2 linked regions of the Macaca mulatta genome follow. The protein of the gene in region 2 purifies or fractionates together with the protein of the main gene of each other region. This does not show direct contact. Links are inferred from orthologs where the notes say so. Each region holds a gene or a part of one and is shown on either strand. Other genes may lie near its edges.

Region 1 (4,945 bases), on a different chromosome or scaffold from region 2:
AGGCATGGCTGTGTTCCAATAAAAAAATTGAAACAAAACCTGTGACAAAACATTTGGCTGGCCTATCAGCCAGAATTTACTGATCCCTGATCTACAACATTCCTATTATTCTTGAGAGCTCGAAAAGTACTATATATGCAGTAAAGATTGTGAGCCACAGTGCATTATCAGGTCATCCGTCATAAAGTTTCATAACTGAAAGATCTCAGATATCATCCAGTCCAATAATTATCCAAATAGATGCATAAGTTACTTTTGGAACTTTGCAGAAATACACATAATTGGTCACTTCCTAGAGACCAATTTAATCAGATTTCCTAGGGTGACGGAGATAATTCTGAGGTGCAAATCTAGTTAAAAACCACTAGGCTGAATCCTATGCCCTCATTTTGCAGACAGGCTAACTGCAATCCAAAATGGTCAAATGGCCTACCTCAGTTTGTAAACCTAATTAGTATTAGTGGCCGGTTTTCTACCAGAATATATATATAGCTGACTGTTACAAATTCTGGCCTTGACACCACCCCAAAATACCACCTACAGCTATAAATACACTCCTACTATTACCTATTTCAAGGAGGAGATCCAGAAACATCAGATTTTCCAAGGTGATAATGCAGAGTCACTATTAGAACACAGGTCACATTAGTCTAGGCAACAGCTTTTTCAAAATTTATCAAATTCATCTTTTCTTCCCCCTTGTCATTATTACCTTAGCATAAAAGCACCTCCATCAAGTCTAGATTACTATAACCCCTTCCTTAAGCTACTCTGTAAACATCAAACATCTTTGCTTTTTTAAATGTGTGTGTGTGTTTACATCAGATAGCCCTTATTCCACAGAAGATTTAGGACAGCTTATTCAAACCTATAATAGATACCTAAGCCTAACATATCCATTTTATGGCTCAATCCAACTCATATGGTCTTGTTTTCCACTTCTACCCAACATATTCAACCTTCTTAAATCAGGTTTCTGCTACCGACAAATGTATGTGTTCCTACTTTGGTTCCTTTGCTAAGTTACTTTCTATGTCTGGAATGAACTTTATCTTAGTCTTTAAATACCTAACCTATTCAAGGTCCACCAAAGTTACACTACAACTTTAAAGCTTTTCTTAATATCAACAACACAGAATTCCCTAATTTCTCACATGGCTGTCTATACTGCAAGTTAATGCCTAATTATATATAGGCGTACTCTCTCTGACACACAAGTCATTACTTCAGTATTATAAGTACTAATTTTTGTCCATTAAAGTATTTCACAAATGTACATATACATCTTCCCAATAGAAATGAAAGCTTCTTGGAAGCAAAATAACATACTTCTGTGCCCTATCGGACCTACTAAAATCACAGCTCAATAAACAAGATGTTATTCAAATAACATCTTCACTTTTAAGAACATGCTTTTCATCCTATTACTAGTAAATATTTAACTAGAAAATTTACTTTTTACAGGTTTTACAACTAAAAGAAGGACCAAAACAACCCAAATAAGCATCCAACAAATAAATGCATGATAGCATGTATTATTTTTGTTTTTGCCCCACTGAATAAGCTACATCCTTCTAATTTTACCATTTGATTCATTCTACAAAATGCTTTTCCCATGGCAGTCACTTAGTCAGAACTGAGATTCCCTCTTCCTGTTTCCACTATTTTATCAGGTGAATTTCTTTTTTCACAGCCACAAAGTCATTGCACTGCTTGCATTAACATTCCGTTAGTATAAGATGACTACCCTTAATCAGTGGGCATAGAAATCATTATTTTAGTCACAGGTGATAGTTTTTCCTTTCTTCATTTAAAAATCTATTAACGATGAGAATAAAAATAATCTTAAAAGCTTAAGTATATAAATCACCTGGAAGGTCGACAAAATCTTCTTCTGTAGCCATTTTTGAGATGATCCTGAAAGAAAAGTAAATCATCCATTTGGTTTAAGATATAGCAGAATAAAATTTATTTTCAAAGTAACTTCATCCAGCATGGGCATGCTATACACCAAATATCTCCTAAGGGCTCAAAACAATTCTAAGGTTATGATAGGCATTTAAAAATTGAACGGCCGGCATCTGGTAAGCTTTATTCCGCTTCTCTCCCCACAGTGAGAATGGCTTTATTGCTTTTTTCTGATTATATATAATGTAAACAATATATGTGCTCATAGTAAAAAGTCTAGATTATATTATTCTTTCATACAACTCTTTATGTTTATATGTATAACGTCACACAATGGGAGATCATCGAAGCTGAAGAAGAGGAGATAAATTAGAAAAGAAATGATACGGGTTTGATATAGCAACCATAACCAAAGTATGAAATATAGAATAGTGAACACCAAAGAAGTCCAGAAATATGTAAACAAAATATGAGTTGCCGCCCCCATTAGTCATTTACAGCTTGTACCTTTTAACTAATAGCTGTCTTTAAGAACACTGTCGATAACTGATGCTCCATAAATCAGCCTCAAGAACTGCATATAAGGCCACCATTTTGACAGAAGAACTGAAAACGTCAAACTATTTCGGGACATACTTGTTACATAATCTGTTTCTCCCAACTAGCAAGTGTGACGCAAAGGCACATTTTTAAGGCGTTTCAATACTTCTACCATGGGGAGAAAAGTATTTGGAGGACTAGGAACTGGAGCTAGACTAAAAAGCAGACGCCAAGATCGCGCCACTGCACTCCAGCCTGGGGGATAGAGCAAGACTCCGTCTCGAAAAAACACCCCAACAGAAATCACAAGCACCTCTCAAGAGTAAGACGCAGGCACAGACGAAGACACGAAAACTTAAGAAATAATAAAAGTACAGTAAATTAACTCCGATTATCGATACACGATCACACTTGATTTCAAAAATTCCTCCGGCTTTCCCACTGAAATCCCTCATGGACCACAGCCCCAGCCTAGCCTTTCCTTCTCCCCCTCCTCGGGCGCCCGTGTCCCCAGCCAGCCGCTCAACCGCTTGCCTGGAGCGCGAGGGCCCGCACTTACCAGACCCGACGCAGCCATGTTCCGGCCCCGCTGAGCCAGCGCAGGGGTCTGAGGTGGAAGCCCACACGGAGCACAACTCCAGGAGGCCGAGCAAGAAATGAACCGCCAGACTACCAGGCGGCGGCCAAGCAACACCCCTAAGTCGAAGAGGACGGCCGGGAGCGCTGGGATCCGGAAGGCGCGCGCTAACAACACTTCCCCGCCATCAGCTCCGCCCTCAAAAAACAAGAACGCTCGGCGCCTGCATGGGTTTGAACCCAGCCGCACATGCGCAAAACGGGCTGCGCCGTCCAATAGGAAGCAAGCGGTTAGTGAGCTCGCCCCTTCTTGCTCTAAGCCAATGGCCCTCCCGCCCGCAGCTCCGCCCGCCCTATCTCTAGCTGCTCTGCTCTTCCCACCTCCCTTCCACAGCGCCGCGTCGGGGACAGGCGCGAGAGTGGGCCTTTATTTGGAAGGCGCGGTCCTGGGAACCGCTCCTTGTGCCCAATGTAAAACTTCTCAACAGTTCTATTAAAGAATAATAAGTAATACTTGGAAGGATGAGAGGTAGAAATTGAAGACTTTTTTTTTAACAGAATCTTTTTGAAGAGATTTTTCTAATGCAAATTCGTCAGCCACGCCCAACCCATCTAACCATCATCTCTGAAAATAATTGAATAATTATGTGTAATAATGGTGATGATGGCTTGTATTCTTTTTCAAGTATGTGGGTGATGTTTTTATGATGCATTGCCAACAAATGACCCACGTAAATAGCTATCATTTAAGTATGATGCACTGAAAAGAATTCTATACAGAATCCTGAAACCTGCCAGCCAATGACTAGCTGTGTTATGGGGAGAAAAATTTCGGCACCATTCTGGGTGTTTCCATAGTGATAGAATGGAAGTCTAACTTAGACGCTCTGAAGACTTCTCACCTGACCAGTGTATGATTCTATGAAGCTGTGTCTTATTTTATTATTTAATTTAAAATTACAAGAAAATTCTAATCAGAAAGTAGTTTACTCATTGAATAAATACATTAATCAGGAGTTGAGCTAATAGATTTTTAAAACATGTAGTGCTTTAATAAATGCTGTCACCTATGAAAGCCAATTTTTTATTTTATTTATTTTTTTTGATAGGAAAGAAAGAGGAACTATGAACTCTGACAGAAATTAGGCCTAGATTGCACTCCATTCCATTAATTCTGCCATTATGGGCAACTAAGTTATCTGTTCCTTAATTCTCTTGTCTGCAAAATGAGAATAATATTAAGTGGTTGAGATGTTGTAATTGAATAATTCCTGTTAAGATCTACACACAATGTTTGGAACAGAGTAAGAATTCAATAATAAAGCTATTGGAATCATTATGGAGACACTTTTACTATGTTTGGCAGTTTTGCCAATCAGTCCACATGATATATAATTTGGTACTATCACATTTGGAATAGATAGTAATAAACACTAACATTTATTGAGTGCATACTCTATGCCCAGTTCTGTAAATGCTTCGCATGCATTGAAGAGAACAATTAATATTCCTGTTTTATAAACAAGGGCACTGAAACACAGAGAGGTAAGTGTCTTGCCCAAGATCACATCACCACTAAATGGTAGGATGGGATATTATCCCAAGAATTCTGACTCCACAACTGAGCTCTTAATCACTACACTCTTTGCCTCTGGGTAAGAAATTTTAGCAAGCACACTTATAGATGTAAAGTCCCATATGTAAAATTATATCCTCCTGCTTCCACTGGAAACTAAGTCCCACAGAGGGTTTTGAGAAATTTGAAATGCAATGGCTTGTGCTGCTGTAGAATGCAGGCCACACAGGGTGCTGAGGATGAACTGTTCTAAAGAAAATGGAGCAGCACTCCTATAAAAACAGTTATGGAGACGCCACAGTTTCCAGACAAACGTTTTACTTCCATATTGTTGTAGTGCTTAGT
Region 2 (4,739 bases):
GTAACTTCAATAGTCACTGTACTCTCTAGTAGTTAAAAGTATTCCCTGTGAAGATTTATTTGAAAAGAGGCAAATCTACCAAACAATAAAAATACAACAGAAGCCTAAAGTTTCCACATACCCCAAATACACTATTTTTCTATAGTCTCAAATTCAGCACTATATTTCAGACTAATATTAATATATAACCCTACTAACAAATATTTAGAATAATTTAATTTTGCGATATTTTAAAACTGAATTATTGTCCTCAGTTTTCCTCGGAGAAATGGCTTCATTATTAATCTTTCTTTACCAGATAAAAATACTCCAATCACTACTTTCATAAAGGAATTTAACTTTTCACAGGTTAGCTGCCGAAATAAATACTACAGCATGCCAAAGACAAAGTCCTCAATGACCATTTTAATGCCTTCCCACCCCCATAAACAGAAAAACAAGCAAACCAAGTACGTTGGAATATCAAAATTATTGGGAGTGCAATTATCAAAAAAGCAAGCACTTCATTGACTTTCCTCACTGACTTTTTTTCATACCAACTTTTGGCTCAATAAAACCACAACTCTAGAAATCAAGTGTTATTAGTCATTTGACACAATATTTGATACTGCTTTCTATGCATAACTAAAAGTACAATTTTAGAGAAAGTTTTAAGTCACATAAATTTCATGTGTAGAGACCCACATACTCTGAAATCAAAGGAAATGCCAGTCACATCACAGCTCACATGTAAAAACCTGGTAGAATAATTTTAAGGTCTTAATAACCCTGACAATTTTAAATAAAGTGGGAAAAGTAAAAGTAGTGTGTATGTACTTTAAGTGCTGAAAGAAATCTGTCTCCCAGACAGCATTCAATTATTTTCTTCAGAGGCTTTTTTTTCAAAGTTACATAAACATTTAATTTTTTGTTCCTATATATTTGGATGACTGTCAGTAATTCATGCTAATAGTAGACTGCTTTGGAAGTCACAAAAGAATTTTTTCCATAATTATCTTCTGGGCAAGCGGGTTTAGCCTTAGTAACATTTTTATCTTCCAGTTTAGCCTTAGTAACATTTTCAATTAATGCCAACTTCAAAATTTGCAAATACTGTTTTAAAATAATATTACTGACTTAACAGAAAACTAAATTTTGGGAGGCTACTTCTTCAGTAAGTTTTATATTCATTTCAAAACAAAAACTTGGGCAAAATTAACTGTGCACATGTATATGCAGCTAACATAATCCAAGGGAATAAAACCTCTCCCGATATAAACGTTGTCTTAAAAAAAAATCTTCCCCACAATTTTTAGCAGGACATATAGACACTGCAGTGTCACGCTACCTTTAGACAAAATGCAACTGATACTTGCTAAGAAATAATTTTTATTAAAAATACTCTGCTAGTACTTATGCAATTACATAATTTTAACTAAATATTGTCCACTGCCACAATTCGCATTACCAAACTCATATTACCAAATTTTAGGCCTTGATAGAGCCTAAATGCTTCAGTCACTTCAGACCAATAACTTCTGTTTTCACATACCTTATACACTGGCCTACCAATAGCTCTCAATTCCTGTCAATACTTTCCATTCTGCAAAATGAGGGCCCCATCCCCATCCCTAATCAAAACCAGTCTGTTGTACCTGAAACTGCAAAGATTCATGCTTTTCGATGACCACTAACTTTTGAAGCCCGAAGGCCTAACTTTTAGACAACTAAAGCTATACACTGTTAAAATTCTTGGGCTTCTGTCTTATTCAACAAGCTGACTCAGTAAATTTAATACACTGTATGAAAAAAGCTAACATACCTACAATCTAAAGCTGGAGTAAACTTCTCTTGCCAGCATTTCTGGATATTAGCTGGTAAAATTCACTTGACATTCTACACAAATCACTGAAATTAACAATACCAAAAGATGTCAGAGAACCTGAAATCTAAAAACGGTGAGCAGCAATTCTGGCATCACAATACTTAAATTTCAAGCATGAACTGAAGTTTTATCTTTGCAATCTTCACTTGCCACACACAATACCCTTGAACCTACACATTGTCATCTGGGATCAAAAACTACTCAATATCCATTCCATGTTTATGACAAGAGCACTGAACATTAAACGCTACTGAAGTGCAAATTTCAAGCCCTATCCTACATCATCCCATAGGGAGAGAAAAAGGTAAATATAACAAAGATCTAGTAAGAACGCCTTATAAGGTATATAATGGCATTATTGATTTCAAACTACAAAACTTCTAAATACAGTCCAAAGTTGTAACTTAAGTGTAAAACATTAACAAAACTACTTTTTGCACTCAATGTGCACCATATATACTGAAAATTATTCTGCTTCTAAAGTTATGCAAATCAGTCATATTTTAAAAGAATCTATCAATGCAACCCAGGAAACTAAAACAATCACTGCAAGATTCTGATGCAATATGCATACGTGCAACACTAATTTTCATTTTATTCTGATCTAAACCCTTGATCTAGGGCCTAAGCCAAGATTTAATCGAAATATGCTCAACCTCAAAGCGTCTACTTTTTTGTTCATTTAGGAGACCGGATTACCGAGCTCTCTAATCCACTAACAGCATACTGTATTCTGTATTAACGGACAATAGCCCTCAGGAAGAGACCGTATAGACAGCCTAAGCAAGCAATCGGTGCCTCGACACTTGCAACCAGGCAAGAGTTCCGTCTAGCCGAACACACCCTAGGTTGAATACAAGAAAAGAAACACAAAATATATGACCTAGCAACCCGACCAGGGTTAAATGTTATAGTCGCCCAAACTAGGGACATTTTCGCATCCGTCTACTCCCACGTTCTAAGAGAGTGACAGAAAGGCAAAGAGGAGCAGCCGCAGAAATGGATACAGGTCAAGTCTAAGTCGAATCCATCCTCTTGATATCTCCTTTTGTTTCTGCTAACGATCTCTTTGATGATGGCTGTCATGTCTGGGAGCCTGTGGCTGAAGAAAAAGGAGGAGAGAGATGGCAGAAGCTGCTGGTGGCGGGGCTTCTTCTGCAGGATGGAAATGGCTCTGGACTTGGCGGTAGCTGATGCCCCTCGCTCTGCCGCCGCTTGGCTCTGGACCGCAGCCGGGTAATGGCTGCTGCGGCGGCTGCTGGATGGTTGCAGCGACTGGGCCTGCTTCTCCTCAGCAGCCAGAGGCCTGGCAGCAGCGGCAGCGGAATGGGGAGAAGACGAATAATCCTCGGAACGGCTGCCTCCTCCGGCGGCCTCCGGAGCCCGGGCCACGGGGGGTGCGGCGGCGGCGGAGGGGAGGTTTAAAACCGGCCCGGGTCCCTGGATGTGCCGCCGCCGCCGCCGCCGTGTTGGAGGCAGTAGAAGGGGAGAGACCAACTCTCCGGCGTTCCCAGCCCTGGAAATGGTGACAGGCGACTCAGACTCCCTCCCTGGAGCTGCAGCCGCCGCGGCCGCCGCGGCCGCCGCTTCTCCCCCCCGCTCCAGGAGCGGGAGGTGCCGCCGCCGCCGCCGCGCCTCAGCCGGCTCCCGCCCGAGCCCACGGCTTCCACCTTCCCCTTCAAGAGAAGCTGAGGAAGCGGCTGCACGGTTAGAAAAGACGAAGAGGAGGCGAGAAACGCCGCCGCTGCCGCCGCCGCAGGCCGGCCGGCTCCCCGAGGGCGCTGCCCCCGCGGCTGCTCACAGGCGCTGAGAGGGGCTCCGGGCCGCGGCCGCCGCCGTCTCTCATCTCCCTCGCCTGAGCCCGGCCTCGCCTCACAGCGGCTCAACTCTCAAACTTCCATCATGGCTGCAGCTTCCGAGAGGAGAGAACTGAGCGCAGCCGCGTCCCGGCGCCCGAGCGCGTATCCTGCCGCAGTGCATAAAGAGTCCCGCCACATCACCGCCCGCCGGCCTGCCCGCCCCCTCCGCCGCCGCGCCGGGAGCCCGGGCTCCTCGGGAGACCGAGGGGAGGCGGGAGCCGAACGAGAGGCGGACTGGACCGTGCCGGGCGAGGGGAGGGCAGGGCAGGGGGCGGTAGGCGGGGGCAGGAGCGGTAGCTCCGGGTGCGAGCGCAAAGCCCCCAAGCCGTAGGCTCTACTGAGCATGCCCAGTGTGGCTGCCTAGAGCTCGCTCGGGCCGGTTCCGAGCCGCCAGCCTGCAACTGCACTTGCCGCGGCTGCTTTTGCAGCAGCGCGAGGCGAGGATAACGAGCTAAGCCTCGGCCTCTGCCCAGAAACCCAGCCGGAGGCAGGGTAGGCTGTTGCGGGGCGGGGGTGGAGGACTGATGATGAAAGCTGAGATGGGTGCGTTGAGCAGTGTCACTGACTCGAGTCTCAGGTTACCTGTGCACAGGTGGAAAGGACCAGGTGACCACGCTGGTCAGTATACAGGGAAATGCAGGGACGGTCCTTGCAAGGGGAATACCCTCCCCCCTGCCTCTGCCCCTGGATTTCCGCGGCGTGGACTGCATTCGCTCTTTTGCATCGCTGTCGATCACAGTCGTTCGCAGAGATTTGACTGTAGCAGCCTTTGCCTAGAGATTCCTCCTTTCCCCAACCCTGTGTCCTCAGGATGTCAGTCTTAGCACAAAGAGCAACCTGCTATTGTGTTTCCAGCGTGCATCACCTCATCCGGCTCCCTTGTAGCGCCCCACCTCTCGCTTCCCCGGTAACTCGGCTTGTTTGCCCTAAAAATGAAAGCTCTCAGCCGAGCGTGCTGAACGTGAACACATCGCCGTTGAATTTCCAGAGCCCAAAGGGCACCTATCTAAATGAAC

Evidence for each region.
Region 1: the proteins of PTEN (region 2) and CENPC purify together in Homo sapiens (affinity purification with western blotting; 3 studies listed by BioGRID, with this or other methods). This does not show direct contact. The link is inferred for Macaca mulatta from reciprocal best matches to the Homo sapiens genes PTEN and CENPC.

The regions. Positions count from the first base shown.
Region 1 is NC_133410.1:65,937,770-65,942,714, reverse strand, and holds the start of CENPC (centromere protein C), read right to left. Parts: upstream 3,234-4,945; 5' UTR 3,026-3,233; coding exon 3,008-3,025; intron 2,526-3,007; exon of another isoform or gene 2,416-2,525; intron 1,918-2,415; coding exon 1,871-1,917; intron 1-1,870. UniProt on the Homo sapiens protein: Component of the CENPA-NAC (nucleosome-associated) complex, a complex that plays a central role in assembly of kinetochore proteins, mitotic progression and chromosome segregation.
Region 2 is NC_133414.1:99,939,074-99,943,812, reverse strand, and holds the start of PTEN (phosphatidylinositol 3,4,5-trisphosphate 3-phosphatase and dual-specificity protein phosphatase PTEN), read right to left. Parts: upstream 3,141-4,739; 5' UTR 2,951-3,140; coding exon 2,872-2,950; intron 1-2,871. UniProt on the Homo sapiens protein: Dual-specificity protein phosphatase, dephosphorylating tyrosine-, serine- and threonine-phosphorylated proteins.